Linked DNA regions of Caenorhabditis elegans. The protein of the gene in region 1 interacts with the protein of each later gene in a pairwise test. Each region holds a gene or a part of one and is shown in the gene's direction. Other genes may lie near its edges.

Region 1 (10,682 bases):
CAACAATTCCTTTCAGCCAACCTGATGCACCCAGAATGTACACAAAACAAGAAATGTACCGTTTTGAACTGTCCATTCCAAGAATGGATGGCTCAACCAAACTTCACATGTATCTCATATGATAAGTTGGAAAATCCAAATCCAGAAAAAATCGAGGCCGAGATTCTTCAAGCAACACAATTTAATGGAGGATTCGAGGTGGGATTTTGTTTATTATAGAAATAGGGTTGGAGTGGCAAAGCAGACGTCTGGTTTTCCAAAATCATTGGAAGAAAAGAATCATAAAAGTTTATTACACTTGAAAAATGTTAAACACCTGTTTTTGATAAGCAGGCGCATTTTCAGGAAGGTAAGTATATAATGAATGCAATGGGGGAAGGCAACCACGAGATGTCTCTTTCCTATCTGTTTCTTAATGCCTACATGCCTGCCTATCTGACTTTTCTAGGCCATCTTTTGTTTTAATAATCACGAGCCCACTTTTTGCAGGAGCATTTTATCAACATGCACCATGACTCTCAAATGGATCAATTCTTATTCCAATTCCCATGGGGTATTCCATATTATCATGATGGTGACATGGAAACTATTTCAACGGTGAGTTAGGGTCGACGGGAGAAAATATCCATTTTATATTATTTACAGTCGTGCAGTCAAACTGCTTGTGCCAACAACTCAATGTCAGATCTCGATACAACATGTCGTTGTTTCTATCATTTGGAGCATAAATTAAATAATATTGTGCAAATAACCCTTTATAATATGGGACTTGGTGGTGCAATGGGAACTGGTTATGCTCATCCATTCCATCTTCATGGACATCATTTTTATGTGATGAAAGTTGGATGGCCATCGTATAATGGATCTGGATTTATTGATCAAATGAATCAAGATATTGATTGTCCTGGACGAGATGTTAGTTGTAATGGAAAGAAATGGAGAAATAAAGATTGGTTAGGTGGAGCATTAGAAGCAATGAATACTAAGAATCCAACGAAAAGAGATACTATTACATTGCCAGTTGGAGGATATATCACTATTCGGTAGGTTTTTGTTGTGTATTGAGCGAAAGACAAGGAGAGAAGTAGTTTATTACAAGAAGTGTAAGAAGTAATGAATTATAAAGAGAGGTCGCTTACGCGATAAGTTCATGATGACCCAAAGGTCACGTCTGTATAAAGTTCAGGTTTACGTTCCGTCCACAACATCTCCCCTCTTATATGACAAAAAGCCAGAAATGCCTGGGCTAGGGGCATCACGACCAGAGGCGGTATATCGACCTCTGCGGCGAGTGGAGGCATGATCAGTGTTTGGGGCTGATCCTCGCACAACTTGTCCCCCTCCCCATCTCATCCTGATCGCCACTGTTGTGTATTGAGCGAAAGACAAGGAGAGAAGTAGTTTATTACAAGAAGTGTAAGAAGTAATGAATTATAAAGAGAGGTCGCTTACGCGATAAGTTCATGATGACCCAAAGGCCACGTCTGTATAAAGTTCAGGTTTACGTTCCGTCCACAACAGTTTTCGAATCGTTGTTTTTTTAAAACATTTTTTAATTCATGGAGCACGTGAGAACCCATTGTTAGGAACACAATCTTTTGAGAACTACAGTAACCAATTTTTTGAAACATTTTTATACCCATTTCCACTTTTTTCTCTCACTCACCCGGCAAACTATCTGTTTGTCTCGACATATTTTTGAGTGTGAAAAACAATGTAAAATCGAGGAAAAGTGTATACTGTAGTTCTTAAAGGCGCACCTAGTTTTGTGCAATCTCGAGTTGAACATTTTTCTTTCGTGATGAAACCATCCACCGTATTTTTTGCGAAACGATCTCAAAATTTTTACTATTAAAGTTTAAGGATAAGAATTAACACTCTCTTATATTTTTAATACTCATTCAAGAAACAAATTAATAATTTCAGATTCCGTGCTGTAAATCCAGGATGGTGGTTTGCTCATTGTCACTTGGAACTTCATTTAATGGGTGGAACTGGATATGCATATAAGGTAAAATACACTTAATATCAGTATCAGTGCAATTTCTAACTGTTCTATTTTAGGTTGGTGATCAAAATCAAATCTACATGCCACCTGACAATTTCCCGCATGATTGTGGTGTCTTCAAAGTTGATAAATTACCAGAATTAAGGCTTCCAACTCAAAAATCTTCGAATATCCCATACACTTTCATTGCTGTGTGCCTAGTTCTTATTATTGATAGAATATTTCACTGATAATTGATAATTTTGATGATTAGAATTTGAACTTTACTCAGCTTGATGTCATATTGATATTAATAAATGAACGTGTGCCTGAAAAAAGTGGAAAGTGAATGAGATTTATTGCACAAGTTGAACAACAAAATTAAAACTCAGATTTTTGGAATGTGTAAGTATATATTTAACATTTAATTAATTTCAAATTGGAATCACTCGATCAAATACATCTTGTAAAGTTTTTCGTGTTCTTCCACTTCGAATTTCGGGCGGAAATTAACTTTCACAATCTGTGAAAATCCCTCGGACAGTGTTGGTTCAACATATTTTCCTTTATGAATTCTTAATACCATTGACGAGATTTCAGCTGCATTATCATCTGTTAACACTCGGAATCGAATATTGTGCTGTGCGTGTTCCATACTACAATTCATCTCGAAACATCGAATGGGCACTCCGAGCTCTTTTGCCACGTCAATATATCGCTTTCGTGATTCTAGATCCGGTGATGTGTTATCAATAACTACAGATTTTCCATCAGCAAGATATGAACGAGTGGCTGCTACACACTTTTGCCATGTTCCGATCGTGTCACGATTCACAATATGAATCAAAAATTTTTGAGTTGAAAAATGCTCCAAAACTTACTTTATAATCATGTTGATGACCGAGCATTTTAGCAAAAGTCGACTTTCCTGAACCGGGAAATCCAACCATTAGAATAATTTCTTTTTCGGATGATTTAAGTTGAGCATCTGAAAATATAATTATATTTATGTTTTCTCATAATTTTATTTCACCATGAGGTTCAAGTTCAGTAATTTCCTCTGAAAATAGATTTTTTGGATCAAAGTTTGGTGGTCCCCAGGGCTCATCAACTTTCGATTTTCCGAAAAATTCTTCTGGAGTTTGAAATTTAACACCGACATTTGCAGCAAAGAAACGATCTGCGTATGAGTGATCTTTTTTAGGACGACTCTATAAAATTAGAATTAAATGAAAGTTGAATCTATTCACACGTACTGTAGTCTTGATTCTTCCAGCAGCATCTCCAACAAAAATGCTTTCTTTTTCATTAATTTCCACTTCATCATTTCTCAATTTCAGCTCATTCCACATACCAACACATGGTTTTCTATAGTGTCCCCCAGCAACTGAAACAAATGCTTGAACAGGTATTCCAAGTTTTCCAACAATTGCTTCAATTTTCTTCCTAAATTCATTTCGATCAACTTTTCCAGCGTGGATGCCTTTTTGATTTGTGAAAATGACAATTTTGAATCCGTCGGAATGCAATTTTTTGAAATCTGATGGAATTGAGTCATATAGAAGTTGCCAATCTTGACAATTTGTTGGAAACACTTTTCCAGACTTTGTTTTGATCAGAGTTCCGTCTGAAAATACGATTTTTTTAAACAAAAATATTTTTTTCATACACTAGAAAGTTTAGAACAACTCATAAATTTAACCTTTTTCAGGTTTTCATCTATTATTGTTGTGGAGATCGACAAAAAATAGTTGTAGGGGTTCGAATCTACAGTAATTTTAGGGATTTCCACAAAAATTTGGCAATTTACCAAAAAAAAAATTGATTAGTATTACATTTTTATTAATTTGTGCAAACTACTTAATTTGAAGAAAATCAAATGGAAATTACATCACAATTTTAGGTTCAAGGGATAAATGTACCGAGCCAGAGGCTCACTGCTTGAATAGTCTCAGTAAGGCCAAGTTTCTTGATACTAATTTCATATTTCGTGAAAATTATCAATTCTGCGCCAAAAATATGTGTTTTCTTTTGATAGAAGACGTGAGTTTTCCCACTCATCAACAACAAGAAAATCAAAAAATATATCCATACACCACTCAGTATTTCTAGTCGTCTGTGTTCTCTAATTGTAGGTCACAGCCTCCCTCCATTAGACAGGCATAGTATGTTTGTCTGTGTCTCTTCATCTTCATACACACTCTGAATGTTTGTCTGTTGTCTCTTGAAGTGTGGACACCCTCTATTAAAACGGCACTCCCTTCTTCTTGACGTTAGAATTCATTGATTTTTTTCTATTTATTTATTTTATCTTTTCTAAAGATGCAAATGTAAATATTACACAGATGCGAAATTTTGTGATTTTCAACGCAAAAATACGATACTCGGTCTTGACACTGCGGAATAAGTTTATATGAAAAAAAGTGCACCTTTAAAAAGTACAGTAACCTCTACGAGTCACTGTTCTGACTTATTCATCTTCGACTTTTTTCCTGAATTTTGCATAAAATTTTAGTATTTTTTGATTTGTCTCACAAAAAACAATTTTTTTTTGGGAAAAATGTGAAAATCGGAAAATCAAACCAATGAGGCAGGGAGATTACTGTACTTTTTAAAGGATATTCGGTCGTGCCAAGACCTAGTATCGCATTTTTGCGTAGGAAATCGCAAAATTTCGAATCTGAGTAATACTATTCTAACCGAAATGTAGAATTCTCAGCTTTAAACTTCAGAAATGACTGAAATCTCTCCTAAAATACTTGAAACTTCATCCGAGCCACCACCAAAAAAGAAGCGTGCCAATTTTACACTCGAATTCAAAAATGAAGTTATTCGATTTGCTGAACAAACAAATAATTGTCAAGCTCAGAAGAAATATGGAGTTGCAAGAGCTTGTATTCAACGATGGAGACATTTGAAGGTATTTCTGAACTACAGTAGTTCTATCAACAAATTTCTGGAATTTCAGCACGAATTAGCATTCGAATCAGAAGGAAAACAAGGAGCAAAGAGGCTCGGTGGAGCAGGAAGACCGCTAAAGAATGTGGAATTAGATGAGAAAGTTGAAGATTGGATTGCTTCGAAAAACGGGAAAATTTCGGGAAAAGATATCAAGGAATATGCGAAGAAAATTAATGGAAATGCAGACTTTAAGGTTTGAAACATTTAAACTCGAATTTCGAATAAAATATTTTCTAGGCAAGTAATGGTTGGCTTCAAAGATTTATGATTCGACACGGATTGATAAAAGCAAGAAGTTCAAGCCCAAAAACGCCATCAACTAGTGATGGCACAACAGACAAAACGCTTGAAGAATCACTTTTTGAACTAATTAACAGTGATGAATGGAAGAATATATCAGAAGGAAATGTTTCAGGATTCCTAGAAGATTTTAATGCAGAAAATGGAGAAACTAGTTTAAAAGTCGAGGGAAACAATAGTACAACCACAGAGAGTGAAGTAAAACAGAAACCAAATGAATCATCGAAATTGCCAGAAATAAACATTTTTCAACAATTGGAGATGCTTATTAAGGATTCTAATGGGAAGGAAGACAGTGTAGAAGAAACCGAAACATCTGTGAACCGTTCTCCGAAATCTTATTAATTTTTTGTTATCGTTCATATTTTTCTAAAACTATAGCATGTTATTTTCCATTGAAACAATTCATATCTGATATTCATAATCAAAATTTGGAATACTCATGGAAAGTTAAATCTCGCCAATAAAATAATGTGACCAATTCTTACCCATATCGAATGCGGCAATTTTCTCTTTTCCTTCACATTCTGAATGGGTGAAAATCATCAAATCGCCGTTGTCCTGGAAAAATCAGACTTTAGTTTTTTTTAATGAAGTTTATTTTTGAAACCTTTGATTCCCAGGATCCAGTCTTTTTCAGTGGTCGTCCAAATAAATCAGTATCTGTAAACCGGAGATGAACTTTTTCAGATAAATTGCAAAATCGAAACCTTTAGATTTTTTCGCTTCGTTTTTTGCTCCATCCATTGCTCTTTTCATAATTCTAAGTCTGAAAACTGCTGAAAAAAGCAACGTCTGCCAATTATTTGTGGAGCAATTAAAAAGAAAATCAATAATCGATATTTTCTGTGTTAAAAACTTTAATTTTATTGGAAAAATGTAGCAAAACCTCAAAAAGAATTTATTTTCAATTAAAACAAACGTAAAAAAAAAATCAACAAAACTTCTAATCTAGATTTAAACTTCGAGAACATCCACACTACTTCTTTCCTCTCAATTGTGCACGCTTTCCTTGACCGATTGGTGGCCGAACAACTTTTCCGCGAATAATTTTCAAATTATCTTGAACATCTCTGAAAACTACGTGATCATCAAAAAATAGTCCATGGAATCGTAGCATTTTGGTCAAATAATGAAACATCGGAAGATTTGGATAGTATTTCGGTGATAATTGTTCTTTGGTTTCATATGGTTCTGCAGACATTACTCGGACAACCTGTAAATGAAAATTTTCAGAAACTTTTCTTTATAAAAATCATCTAAAAACCTTTAAACTTTTAGTGTCAGTTGGCATGACAACCTCTCCCCATACTCGATTTGACAATCGATCCATTCGTTTTCCGAATGGTGTAGGTTGAGAGATTCCGCGGCCGGCGTGCACAATTCGTGATGCAGCCAGACGTGCCGCCATCTTAAAATATTTTTTTTATTGTTGATCCGTTAAAATCGGATGAAACTGTTAAATATAGATATAAATAGGCAAAGGACCCATTTCGGAAGGAGTATTCTCAATCGAAAACGTTTCAAAGTTTCAGTTATTTAGTACACGAATTAAAAAATGTGTGAAATGCAAAATTGAGATTGAGCAAAGTAATAGCATCGGAATCATAGATAAATTGAGGTCAATGTTATGAAATTATATGCGAAATTGTTGAATAAAGAAAATAGAGATTCAAGCAGATTTTTTTCCAAAAAATGAGCTGATTGATTTGGTTCCCTTCGAGGCGGCTTGAAGTTTCTTTGATTGTACTGATTCTTTTGGTTTCTTTGCGACAGGTTGCTTCTTATCTTCAAGCTCATCGTCATCCACAGCTTTTCGTTTCATACTCATATCGATGTTCTCGGAGACAGTAGCATCTTGAATATTCAAATGATCTTTAACAATCAATGCAAGATCAGAAGAAAGATATTCAGACAGGAATGTGAAAACATAACGATCGAATGCTTCCGCTGAAATTTATTTCATTTTGGTAAAATTAAGAAGCAAAACGAGAAACTTACGACATGACAACAAAGACTTGTGGGCATCACTTTCTAGAAGTTTTTTGAGAGAATCAAACTTCCTTCTCATCCAATCCAACATTTTTTGATCGTTCAAACGATATAGTTTGACATCGAGAACATCTGGAAATCTTTTATTTTTCCATCTCCACGAACTGATATTTCCAAACCTTTGACATCTGAAACAGCTTCCAATGCTTTCAGAATTCTTTCATTTTCAGCCAATTCTTTGATCCCGTCAACTTGATCATCTACCAATATTTCGCCAATTTCCACAAATTTTCCTGCGGTCTTTTGTAGATATGGGAGACAAATGAAGACGAGATTGTATGGAGTGAATATGTGAATTGTTCCGTTTTCGATTACACTCTCACCGTAGAAGAATGATCGATGACCGTCGTTGACAGCGAAAATCTGCATAAATTTTGTAAGTTTATTCTCATTTAAAAGTTTATTCAGGTTTTTTGTGAAAGCTTGACCAATATTTTTACCTCATCAAAGCACGTTTCGGAGATTCTGAACAGCGCTAGTCCTTCCTTCGGGTGCCGCAGTTTGATGATTCGGCTATTTGGCAAATTGCCCTCTGAAAACAAAAACATTCATTTTTGAAATTAAATAAAGGAAATCACCTTTGGAAATGACAACTTTTCTCGAATAACTCTCATCGGATTCTGGTAATTTTGCAGGTTTAGTTTCTTCTAAAATCTCTTCAACAGCCTCTTCCTCGACGTCTTCTTTTTTTGTTTTTCTAGTTTTTGGTGGCATTCTTGTTCTGAAACTGATTTATTACAATTTGTAATTGATCTAAACTTATGGAAAATAGTTCGAAATTCGTCAAAAAACGAGAACAATGAGATAGAAAATAAACAGGCATATGTTTTTCAGTCATTTTTAAATGTGAATATTTACACCGATGAGCCAAGGGAAAAAACGAGTTTAATTCAGGAAAATTCAAAAGGGAAAAAAGAAATAAATAAATTATTCTTTAACTAAATTGTTTCTAATTAGAATCACAGAATCTGCTAGACAAAAAATGAACTTGGGAAACATTCTGATGAAAGGGAAATCGAGAAATCATATTGATATTATTAAAAAACGTTTTAGTCAGAATGAATTGTGGGAACTGGGAACAGGCATTTCAAAAACTACAGAAAATAATTGCATCCATTTCTTCACATTTTTCCAGCTCTTGCCATCTGCTGCATCATATTTTGAAGGCCTCCCATACCACCCATCTGCTGCAACACACGTGGATCCATCATTTTTGCCATTTGTTGATTCAATTGAGCCATTTTCGCTGGATTCATATTTTTTGGGTTTATATCACCGTTTTTGCCCTGCAAAATGAATTCATTAGAAATAATTATTGAAATTACAAAATTTCAATTTGTCGAATAGGAACAAAACTTTACATTGAAGAGTCCTTTAATTGATCCAATCTTCTTAACAACATCAGAGAATTTCTTGTACTGAGCGAGAAGATCTCGAACTTCTTGTTGATGAGATCCCGATCCTCTGGCAACTCTGGCAACTCTATTTGGTTCTTTTGTAAAGAGCTCAGATGCTTTTGGATGATCCAATTCCTTATCACTCATAGAATCCATCACAGTCATCATTCTCTTCAGCCTGTTGACGGATTCTTGCTCGTTTCCCTTTGTCATAAATTCTGATCCAAAACCAGGAATCATACCCTGAAATAAATAAGTATTCAGGTATCGTTATAAAACATTGAAACGAACCATAATTTGACTGAAAGGTCCCATTTTCATAATGTTTTGGAATTGCTCATACATGTCGCGAAGAGTGAATTGTCCTGGAAATGTTCTTTTCAGTTTTTGAAATTTTTGAAATCAAATTTACCTTGTTTCAGTCTTCCCACCAATTCTTTATTATCCTGAATTCCAATATCATTGACCATATCAACAAGGCCAGCAATATCTCCCATTCCTAGAAGCTTTTGAACAAATGATTTTGGCTTGAAAATCTCAAAGTCATCAATATGTTCTCCTGTTCCGATGAAGATTACTGGGGATTTGGTGACAGCGACACTGAAAAAAGTATTTGAGCAATTTCAAAACGATAAAGGATCTCGAAGTAAAAACTCACGCAGAAAGAGCTCCTCCTCCTTTAGCATGAGAATCCAACTTTGTAATGATAACACTGGCAACATCAACAGTTTGAGAGAAAGCACGTGCTTGGGCTTCACAAGCTTGTCCAATAGAAGCATCCATCACAAAAACAACATTATCTGGTGTAACTGCGTTGGAAACTTGGAGCATTTCTTCGAAAAGTGAAGCTTCTTGCTTGTGACGACCTGATGTATCAACAATGATGATTTCGAACCCTTCTTGCTGCAAAACAAATATTATTAAACCATTTTTCTGTGATAAATTACCGTGAATTTTTCTACTCCTTCGGCGGCAATTTTTACGGGGTCAATTTCAGAGTATGATCCATAGAAGGGAATACGAGCTTTTGTGGCATTTTGCTTTAATTGATCAAAAGCTCCAGCACGGAATGTATCGGCACAGATCAGACATGTTTTCCATCCTTTTCTTTGGTAGTAATACGCCATCTGAACTTGAAAAGTGTTGAAAAGTTGTTGGAAGTTTACTAATTAAAAAATATAATGTTTGATGGTGTGTGAGCTTTCTATTGTAATTCATGGAACGAACCTTGGTACAAGTCGTAGTTTTACCGGAACCTTGAAGACCAACAAACATGAAAACGTTGCGACGTCCTTTTGTTGGTGTGAAAGGAGTTACACCAGGATCCACAAGCTTCAGCAGTTCATTGAATACTGTCTTCTGAATGTACCGACGTTTGTTTGCTCCTCCGACGATCTCTTCGAAATTAATCGCTTTTCTGAAAATATTTATTAAATTTAAATCTTAAATAGCGTAAAAATTTACTTCACGTTGTCCTTAAGTTGCTTTACAAGACGAATATGAACATCAGATTCAATAAGAGCTGTACAGACTTCTTTCAGCATCAAATCCAGCTCCCCCTCATTGATAACGGTGCTCTGACCGAGCTTTCCGATCGCATTTCGGATTTTCCGCCCCAAATCGGCCAAAACCATTTTGAACTGAAATTTGAAATGCTTTAATTTGTTTAAGCATAGAATTAAACGCGTTTTAAATCGAGAGCACCATAAAAACAGTTTGGAGAAAAATCGATAATTCTTGTAGGAGATTCAGTCCCTGTGGTTTTCTTCGGCTTCCTAATCATTTTTTGACGACATAGTGGTATTTCACAATAGGTTTTTTCAAGACACAACAGATTTTTCACAAAGAGTAGAGAAGAAATGGAAAACTGTAGATTTCTTCTCGAAGAGCCGAGAAAGGCAAGGTATTGGAAGTTTAAAAAGGTAATGTTTCTTTATTCTTTTTTCAAAACAATAATAAATGGAAAATATATATTTATAGATAAC
Region 2 (10,285 bases), on another chromosome or scaffold:
TCTTCGAAAATGCTCAAATTTTCATGAAAATTAAACATTTCCGTTCATTTTTCCATTTATTCCAATAAATTCTATCAATTTTCAGACAATTATAGAGAAGTTATAGTAAAATTTGTACAAAACCTTCAAAAATTCCGAAAATTTGGAGAATTTTAGAACAAAGCAATTTTTGGCGAATTTTCAAAATTTTTTCGTACATAGAAAAAAATTTAAAATTCTCAATTTTTTGAGAATTTTCCCAAAAAAATCCGCAATTTTTTGGGAATTTTTGGAAAAATCGACAATTTCCATAAATTCAATTTTTCGAATTTTCTCAAAAAAAATTCTTTACATTTTTGAGAATGAAAATTTTGTGATAGTAGATCATAATCTCTCCAATTTCAGTACCAAGTAAACTGTGAGACCGGTGAATGGCATCATCAAAATCAACGAGTATTTCATGGAAGACGATGGCTCGGACATGTTCAATTCACCCCAACCGGCCTGAAAACTAAGCCTTTGGCTGTTCCAGAAGTGCCTGATATGAAGAAATGCCTGGAAGCGGCAAAAGTGTTGGCTCAAGAGTCGTCGGATGCTCTGAATATCTCGAAAATTCCAGATGGAAGACTGGCGATTAATTCGGAATATCACGAACTTCGGTGGTTTGTTCTTCCGATTGAGGTGGCTGAAGCTCGAGCTGGACGGGCGGTTTCATTTCCGATGTGTGTGATTAAACCGAGAAAGTATACAGAAGAAGCTTCACATCAAGAAATTCCATCCGAGCAGCATCAAGAAGCTCCGCAAGAAGAGTGTGAAGTGATTTGTGACGATGTGATTTGTTATCTGAAATCAGATAAGCTGAAAGCTTCAGAAGACGTGGGCGATGCTGCTGAAGCTGAGGAGGTGAAGCAGATGGAAGACTGGAATAAGCGGGTCATCGTGAGACGTGTGGAGAATTTGAGTAAAGAAGACGAACGGCTTCAAGAATGGCATATTCCGTCGTTGGAAATGTACAAGAAAGTTACAGACATTATTCATCAGCTCAAGATGATTAGGGTTAGTCGAATTTGCCAAAAATAAAAATTTCCAATTTGCCGGAAAAGTGGCAATTTGCCGGAATTGAAAATATACGTCAAATCGTCCAACCGGCAACTTGCCGATTTTGCCGGAATTGGAATTTTTTAGCAAATCAGCAAGTTGCCGGAATCAAAAATTTCCGACAATTTGGCCACCGGCAGTTTCCGGTAATTTACCGAATTTGTTTTTGCCGAAAGCAATTTTTATTGAAAATTTCCGGCAAATCGCCCAACCGGCAATTCGCCGAAGTTGCCGGAATTTAAAATTTCCGGCAAATTGTTCAACCTTTGTCAATTTTGCCGAAAGTTAAAATTTGCGGCAATTTGCCGAATTTGTCAGAAAAGTGGCAATTACCGGAATGGAAAATTACCGGCAAATCGTCTAACCTGCAACTTGCCGATTTTGCCGGAAAAGCGGCCATGCCAAAAATAAAAATTTCCGGCAAATTGGCAACTTGCCAGAGTTGAAAATTTCAAGCTAACCGTTCTACTGGCAATCTGCCGAATTTGCCGGAATTGAAAATTTCCGGCAAATCGGGTAACCTGCAATTTGCCGATTTTGCCGGAAAAGCGAAAATTGAAAAATTGCCGGCAAATGGGAATTTCGCCGGAATTTAAAATTTCCGGCAATTTACCGAATTTGCCGGAAAAGCGGCAAATTGCCGAAAGTAAAAATTGCCGGCAAATCGGCAACTTGCCAGAGTTGAAAATTTCAAGCTAATCGTTCAACTGACAATTTGCCGATTTTGCCGGAATTGAAATTTTCCGGCAAATCGGCAAATTGTCGGAGTTGAATATTTCCGGCGAATCGTCCAACCTGCAATTTGACGAATTTGCCGGAATTGAAAATTTTCGGCAATTTTCCGAATTTGCCATGAAAGCGGCAGTTGTCGAATGTTATAATTTCCGGCAGATCGCCGAATTTGCTGGAATTGAATATTTCCGGAAAATCGTCTAACCGGCAATTTGCCCAATTTGCCGGAAAAGTGGCATTTGCCGAAAGTGAAGGTAAATCGGCTAATTGCCGGAATTGGAAATTTTTAGCAAATAGGCAAATTCCCAGAATTGAAATTTTCCGGCAAATCGGCCAACTGGCAATTTGCCGAATTTGCCGAACTAAAGTTTCGAATAATTTCCAGGACGGCGACAAAGTTCTTGTGTGTCTCTCCGGCGGCAAGGATTCTCTATCGCTTCTTCACATTTTACGGCACTATCAACAACGCTGTAATAAGGCTAGAAGGTATGAAATATCTGGGTCTCGCCACGACTTGTGTCGATTTACGAGCAGCGCAGAAATTTTTTTTTTTGAATGAAATCGATGTCAAAACGCGCTCCACGGACAATTGACAACGCTCCGCCCCCAACAGCTGGGTCTCGTTAGGTATTTGGCGGCAATAGTGTATATTCAAATTTTTTCAAGAATTTTTGCCTTTTTCGTTATGATTTTTACATGAAATTATCAATTTCGGCTCAAAAATCTTCAAAAACAATGTAGAACCTAACGAGACCCTTGGCTCGGGGGCGGAGCCTTATTTCAGCGCACCCGTAAATCGACACGAGTTACTGTAGCTCGTGGCGAGACCCATGTGCTCAGAATATGGCGAAAATTGTCATTTTTCGTCGGAAATTTTTGAAAAAAAATTCATATTTCCAGCACCTCCTTCGAACTCGGTGCAATCACCGTTGATCCAGGATCTGCAGAATACAATCCACGCCCATTAATCGAGTATTGTCGACGGCTCAATATTGATTATTTCTACGAAGAGCAGGATATTATTGGAGCCGCCCGAAAAACGCCCGGACTCCGATCGATTTGCGCGTTTTGTAGTCGAATGAAGCGTGGCCGACTCGCCGCCGCCGCACAATTACACGGATGGAATGTTCTGGCGATGGGACAACATTTGGATGATCTTGCTGAAAGCTTCTTCATTGCCGCTTTTCAGAATGGAAATTTGAGCACGATGAAGGCTCAGTATACGACGAAGTTAGTACTGAAAATTAGAAAAATCGATTTTTGTTCGAGTTTTTTGAGACGAAAATCCTGAAATTAATCTAAATTTCGTTGTTTTTCAGGTAGAAACACCAAAAATCAGTCGATGTTTAAGATTTTCCTTTCAAAAATTCACCGAAAATGAAAAAAGATTGATTTGCCACCAAATACCTAACGAGACCCGACTCTTGGGGGCGGATTTTTATGGAAAATTTACGATAAAATCGAAATATTTTCCAAATGTTTTGAACTCAAAATCCTGAGAATGCGTATTGCACAACACATTTGACGCGCAAAATATCTCGCAGCGAAAACTACAGTAATGACTACTGTAGGTGTCGATTTACGGGGCTTGGCGGCAGCTCGTAAATCCACACTTACAGTAGTGATTACTGTAGTTTTCGCTGCGAGATATTTTACGCGTCAAATGTGTTGTGCAGAATATCTCGCAGCGAAAACTACAGTAATGACTACCGTGTTCAAAAAAACAAAAAATTGGGAAAATAACTTGATCTTTCCTGGAAAACACTGAAAAATCGTATATTTTCCAGAAAAATACGCTCCGCCCCCAACAGGCGGGTCTCGTTAGGTATTTGTAGACAAAACTTTAAATTCAAATGTTTTTGTCACGTTTTTCATTAGTTTAATAAATTTTTATGCCGAAATTTATAAAATAACATAAGTTCGACGAAAAAATCAATAAAATCGATGGAAAATTGAAAATTTTCCTAACGAGACCCAACTGTTGGGGGCGGAGCGTTACCAATTGTCCGTGGAGCGCGTTTTCACGTCGATTTCAAAAGGAATTTCAATTTTTTTCCAGAGACGGAGCTCTTCGAGTCATTCGACCGCTGGTGATGGTTCGCGAGAAGGCTCTACGAAATTTCGCCGAGGATAAAAGTATTTTCAGCGATTTTTTTTTTGAATTTATCTCCAAATAAATAATTTTCCAGAACTCCCAGTTGTCGCGGAAAACTGCCCGGCATGCTTCAACCAGGCCACCGAACGTCACCGTGTCAAGCAGCTCCTGGCTCAGCAGGAGCTCATCTTCCCCGACTTGTTTAATTCACTGAGATCTGCTCTGAAACCACTGCTTTTGGTGGGTGATTTATGGGTTTTCAAGCTCTAGTAACGCGGGATGTCCCTTGAAATGGCAGAGTTTTGGGAAGCTCGGCCGCGACGCAGCAGCGCGCGGAGCGGCTCAGGCAAAAACGTTGATTCTGTTTTTTTTTCTACCAGAAAATGATAAAATCAATGTGTTCGTCTGAGCCGCTCCGCATGCAGCTGCGTCGCGGCCGAGCTTCCCAAGCTGAAAACTCTTCCATTTAAATATAAGAGGGACTCTGAGCCCCCTTGAGCTCTTTTTTTCAAATCTAATAAATGTTTTCCAGGTTGATTCGGCGCACACCAGCGTGATGCGGAGCCAGGCGGTGCATAATATTGTGAAGGAAATGTCATAGGGAATTTTTCCTATAAAAATTAAAATTTTCCTATTAAAAAAAATATTTAAATATTTTTCTTGTTGTTAAATGTTAATCGTAATTCGTCCTTGAGCGTTTGAATGTTTTTTTGATGTTTTGGTTTGTTGAATAAAAACTTTCAAAAATAAAACCGACAACTGACACATTGATGAAAAAGTGAGTAAAAAGTTAGTCAGCTGTTCCATCGGAAGCCGGCTCAAAGCTCTCAAGCTCCAAAGCTCCAAAGCTCCGAGCCAGTCTGCCGCCGGAATGCGGATCGCCTTGATTTTCCTCGTTCTCCTCGTTTCCTTCGCCTCGTCATGCAAGAATTTCGATAAATATATGAATATGTTCTGCCGTTACGGCTTGGAGCAATCCCCATGCACTGTTGAGGATTGTAAGTTTTTTTATTTATTGATTTTTTGTGTTTTGTTTCAAAAGATTCATAATTAATTTCAGATAGCACCTACAAATCCGCGTGCTGTGCCATGAAGAACAACTGCTCGTACAAGGAATTCCCGAAGGATGATGTCTGCTGCTTCACTGTTGAGTGCCTCAAGAGATGCTTCCCGGAGAAGCTGCTCAAGAACGATAAAGTCTATTAAATAATTGGATTTTGATGTTTTAATTTTTTTCCAATAAAGCCAATTTTTTAGACTAAATTTTCGGCGATTTTCTTCTTTTTTGAGATAATTTTTCAAATTTCGCGCGGGAAAAGTGATTTTGCGCCACTTTTTGAGCCTCTGCGGCCATAATCGAAGACTTTCAAAAAAACGAGTTTCTCCACTTTTTGACTCGAAATAAAGCGTTTTCCGAAACATTTTGAACGTTTTATTAAATATGATTTTTGGTCATTTTGACAGTGTTTGAATTGTTTTTCCGTTGTTAAAGGAAAAATGACACGATTTCCCATAAAAACCCTTTAAAAACAAGCAAATTTGAGTTTTTTTGAACGTTTTCTCCATAAATTTCGATAAAAAACCGAAAATTCCGTCTGAAAAGTTGTAAAATGTGTTCCAGAAAAAAACAAAAAATTGTTTTTTCAGAAATCTGTGCAATATTGCGTGAGGGTGTTTGCACAAGTGTCGTCAAATCGGGTGTTTTCTATTTTCGTTTTGTTTATTGAAAAATTTTCGCTCACTGAAAACGGGTTTTCTCTGCGAAACCTGAATTTTTCCTCGTTTGTTCAATTAAAAATTGATTATTTAAATTTCAGAGCATGTCAGAGCTATCAGATGAAGAAATTTCCTTGCAAGCGCTTTACGATCCGAGCAAAAAGGTGATCGGCGATATTGAAGATGGGATTTTTTCCACCCCGGAGCTCCAACCTCGCATCAAAACGGGAATTGATAATCTCCAGTTGGTCACGAAGCTTGTGAATCAGATGAGATTGTTTTCGTCGAATGAGCAGGTTTTTTATCGAAAAAAAAAAAGATTATTTCTGAAATTAAATGATTTTTTTTCAGATTGAAGACGTTCCAACAAACTCGCTGCCCTATCTCCTTGTCCCATGTTTTTTGGGAATTCTCCACCAAAATTTGATGACTGAGCCCGGCCTGAAGCTCGACGAACTGAGAAAATCCAAAATTTATATGCGAAATTTTCTGGATCGCCTCCGAGATTTGTGCCTGATCACCACCAGATTACCATGGGAAGATGAGGATACAGAAGAGCAAAATTTAAAGGAGAAGCCGAAGCTTGCAGTTGAAGAGATCAGAAGATTGAAGTTGGAGCGTCACAAGAAGAAGCAAGAGCTCAAAATGGCGGAGCTCAGGATCCAAAAGCAGCTGGAAGCCGTTTCAATTGATGAGCAGAATCTCAGAGAGCTCTATATTACTCAGTTATTGTTCTGGAGTGAAAGATGTTACGAGGAGTTGCAGGCGATTGATGGTGTGTAGAATATCGCCTAGTTTCCATGGAAAAATTATTTTTAAAAATCACGAAAAATCGGAATTAATGTGATTTTCTGGCAGAAAAACGCAATGTTATCATATTTTTTTTCTGAGAACTCGAAGAAAACTGGAATTTTTGCTTGAAAAATCGTTTTGTTGCTCTAAAAATGCTCAAAATGGCTTCGAAATGCCGAATTTCATGGAAAATAAGGAGAAAAATGGCTAAATTTAGCTAAACTTCCGGATTTCGCACATTTTTTCATTAATTTAACGATGTTTCCAGACGAATGGTAACCAAAACACAGAAAAACAGCAAATATGTTCAAATTATGATCTTTTATTCGAGAAAAAAACTATTTTTCTGTGCGACGCTGCTTTTTAAAGATTTTTTGTAATTTTTTTAAACTATTATTTTAAAAAATCGAAAAATTCAATTTTCAGGGTCATTTTGAGGCTCTAAGAGCTATAAAATTCGTTTTTACCCACAGACAATTAAAAAAAAAGCAAAAAAAGGAAAAATAATAATTAACTCATTTTTTAAATTTTTGCAAAACTCCTTTAAAATTAGAAAGTTGTAAAAAAAATTTCGAATTTTCAATTATTCAAAAATTGGAAAAAAATTAGACAATTAACAGGAAAATTCATTTCTTTTATCAAATCTGGTTTATTTTGATTTGAAAAATCAGAAAATATATAGTTTTCTTCTACAAACAAAAAAATGATCAAATCACGACCAAATCGGAGATTTCCGCTAAATTTTGGACTTTTTTCTTGTTTGTAGAAAAAAAAGATATATTTTCTAAAGTTTTTCATCAAAATAAATCTAAATTTTTTTTTCGATTTTTGAATTAAAAAAATTAATTATTCAAAAATCGAAAAAAAAATTTATTTTGATGAAAAACTTCAGAAAATATATCATTTTTTTTCTACAAACAAGAAAAAAGTCCAAAATTTAGCTAAAATCTCCGATTTGGTCGTATTTTGGTCATTTTTTTGTTTGTAGAAGAAAACTATATATTTTCTGATTTTTCAAATCAAAATAAACCACATTTGATAAAAGAAATGAATTTTCCTGTTAATTGTCTAATTTTTTTCCAATTTTTGAATAATTGAAAATTCGAAATTTTTTTAAACAAAAAAATAAAAAAAATTTAAATAATAAGTTAATTATTATTTTTATTTTTTGCAAATTTTTTAATTTTCTGTCAGTAAAAAAGTTTTTTAATAGTTTTTAGAGCCTCAAAATGACCCTGAAAAATTGAATTTTTCGAGTTTTGAATAATTTTCAGTTCTTCATGGCCAAGCCTTTTAAGCCTTTTAGAGCAGAAAGCGACGTTTTTAAAAACGGAAAACAATTTTCAGACGAGCTTCCACTGCTGAAAATGATGGCTGAACGAGCATCTCACCCACATCGTCATCCAGCTCCACCACCAGCAACAAAGACAGTTCCAACACTTAAACCCTTCATTATTACCAGAGATGCTCAACAGAAGCAGGTCTTTGGGCTCGGATATCCAGGAATTCCAGCGATGAGTGTCGATGAATGGTATCATCAGAAATTCGGTCATAATCCACAAAATGCTCCACAATCGTCGGCTCCAGCCGGGGCAGAAGCTCAAGAATCCGAAGAAGAGGTTGATGATGACGAGGCGAGAGCGAAGGCGATGCGTTGGGATGAATATAAGGATGATCATCGACGTGGATGGGGAAATATGCACAATAAAGGATAAATTATATTGTAGATCTCTACTTTTACGCGGGATTCCTAGCTCCCGCATGTGTCGATTTACGCGGCTTGTGTACTTCACGAGGAGAAGGCGAAAAATTTTGAAAAATCTGCATTTTTTGAATGGAAAAATTGCAGAATTGGCAATTTTCGGCGGATTATTTTGAGAATTAAAAAAAAATTGCAGTTTTTATGGGAAAAAATTTTTTGATAAAATTATTGAAAATTTTTTCCGCGAAAATCTGCAATTATCCGTTTTTTACGATATTTTTCTAGAAAAAAATCAATAAAATTGCGGTTTTCTGGAAATTTCAAAAAATTCCAGGTTTTTCGAAAATTTTGAAAAATAAATTATTCAAATAGAGATATTTCAGATATTTCTTTCAAAAAACTTGAAAATTTGCGTTTTTTTGAAAATTCTGAAAAAATTCAATAAAACCGCGGTGTTCTCTTTGAAATTCTCAAAAATCACTGGTTTTTTTTTGGGAAAATTCAAAAAATTGAGGATTTTTCACTAAGAAGTCTCAAAAAAAAATTCGCCGAATTTCCTGAAAATTCTCAAAATTTTCCATAAAAATTGCGGATTTTAGCAAGAGTTTTTTTCAAAAAAAAAATCGGATTTTTCCAAAAAAAAGTTCCCTTCACTTCGGGGAGTTCACGAGCCGCGTAAATCGACATTTTTATACGGCGTCTTATTTTCGTTTCGAATAAATGTGAAACTGTAAATAATTATATTTTATTATATTTTTTTTTGCATTTTTAAAGGGTTTTTACCTTTTTTATACATAAGTTCCAAAATATTTTTCAGATTTTCAGAAAAAAAAAATTTCAGAATGGCATTCCGTAAGCGTCGTCACGATTCGGAAGGAGATTCCGATGAAGAGAGACTTCCGATCAATAAAGATGAAGATGAGGATCTGAAAGCTGTAAGGAGCACGATTTTTGGCTGAAAATCGGGGATTTTCTACCTTGAAAATGAAAAAATTGGCAAAAACTAACCATTTTCGTAACAAATTTCGATTTTTGATTAAAAAAAAACCGAAAAAATCAAGAAAAAGTTTCACAATTCGGATTTTCTCTTAAAAAAAACTATTTTTGACGAAATTTTGAAACTTTTTTGTAAAAAATTCAATAAAACAAGATTTTAAGCACTTTTTTCGGATTTTTCAGAAAATAAAAATTTTTTAGAACAGTTTCTTTTCAGAAAAAATCAAAACTTTTTTTTTTCAATTTTTAATCGAAAAATCGGCAAAAAGCTACTTTTGTCTTCAAAATTCTGAGAAAATATCCATTTTTTACATTCTTACTCAATTTTTTGAAAAAAAAAAAGATTTTTCTTAAAAAATGTATTTCCGATAAAATTTTAGCAATTTTCCTCAATTTTTTTGGCGATTTTTCGATTAAAAACTTGAAAAAATTCGAAAAAAGCGCTTAAAAACTAGCTTTATTGAATTTCACTCAAAAAAAAACTGAAAAAAAGAGTTATACAAATAACAGGAACTGAAGAGTAAAATAAAAAAACATTCTATTAAAAAAAACCGGTTTTAATTATTTTTTTCTCAATGTTTTAATTAATAAATTGATAATTTTGATTTAGTGTTAAAAATAATCAAAAATCTAATTTTCGGTCTATTTTCTAATTTTTTTGAGAGAAATTTCTACTTTGAAAAAATTATTTTCAAATTTTCAAAGCTTAAGTTTCTCTCAAAAATTAAGAAAATAGACCGAAAATTTGATTTTTTTTAAAGCTAAATCAGAAATTATCAATTTATTAATTAAAAAATCGGAAAAAAATTAATTTCATTTTTTAAATAGAAAATACGATTAATATAATTTTTTGAAACAAAGAAAAATACCCGAAAATTGTAAATAATTATTGAAAAATATTAAAAAAATTTCCAGGAACCGGCAAAAAAGTCGAAAAACATGTGGTCAGATATGTTGCTCGAGGAGCAACTTCTCGAAAAAGGTCAACAAATTAATTTGGATCGAACATCAAGAAAGCAGCCAAATGTTTCACGTGGTCCTGAATCTTATTTGATGCCACAGGACGAATTTCAGCGGAAACAATCGAGAAATGCTAATCAAAAGAAAAAGAATGAGGTGTTCGATGTGAGGAAGCTTGAATTTCTGGGATTTTATTGGAAAAAATGCGATTTTCT

What was found.
Region 2: the proteins of F21D5.4 (region 1) and Y71H2B.4 interact in a two-hybrid assay, tested with the Caenorhabditis elegans proteins (one large-scale study listed by BioGRID).

The regions. Positions count from the first base shown.
Region 1 is NC_003282.8:8,733,368-8,744,049, forward strand, and holds F21D5.4 (HTH CENPB-type domain-containing protein), read left to right. Parts: upstream 1-4,719; 5' UTR 4,720-4,721; coding exon 4,722-4,907; intron 4,908-4,955; coding exon 4,956-5,141; intron 5,142-5,185; coding exon 5,186-5,593; 3' UTR 5,594-5,734; downstream 5,735-10,682. Other genes in the region: F21D5.3 (Multicopper oxidase), read left to right, coding at 17-198, 490-597, 646-1,043, 1,927-2,011, 2,065-2,238; F21D5.5 (uncharacterized protein), read right to left, coding at 2,433-2,825, 2,869-2,975, 3,021-3,198, 3,244-3,614, 5,737-5,809, 5,859-5,911, 5,959-6,007; mrps-33 (Small ribosomal subunit protein mS33), read right to left, coding at 6,228-6,464, 6,516-6,659; F21D5.6 (Ribonuclease H2 subunit B wHTH domain-containing protein), read right to left, coding at 6,921-7,198, 7,250-7,372, 7,420-7,663, 7,741-7,832, 7,879-8,014; F21D5.7 (Signal recognition particle 54 kDa protein), read right to left, coding at 8,422-8,586, 8,662-8,940, 8,989-9,062, 9,110-9,297, 9,356-9,600, 9,645-9,824, 9,925-10,114, 10,162-10,331.
Region 2 is NC_003281.10:2,614,215-2,624,499, forward strand, and holds Y71H2B.4 (Lipoprotein), read left to right. Parts: upstream 1-4,748; 5' UTR 4,749-4,775; coding exon 4,776-4,902; intron 4,903-4,964; coding exon 4,965-5,110; 3' UTR 5,111-5,161; downstream 5,162-10,285. Other genes in the region: Y71H2B.5 (Aminotran_5 domain-containing protein), read left to right, coding at 385-1,035, 2,195-2,295, 2,710-3,039, 3,869-3,945, 3,999-4,144, 4,437-4,505; Serine/threonine-protein phosphatase 4 regulatory subunit ppfr-4, read left to right, coding at 5,725-5,916, 5,972-6,395, 7,760-8,127; Y71H2B.2 (Phosphorylated adapter RNA export protein), read left to right, coding at 8,957-9,049, 10,026-10,235.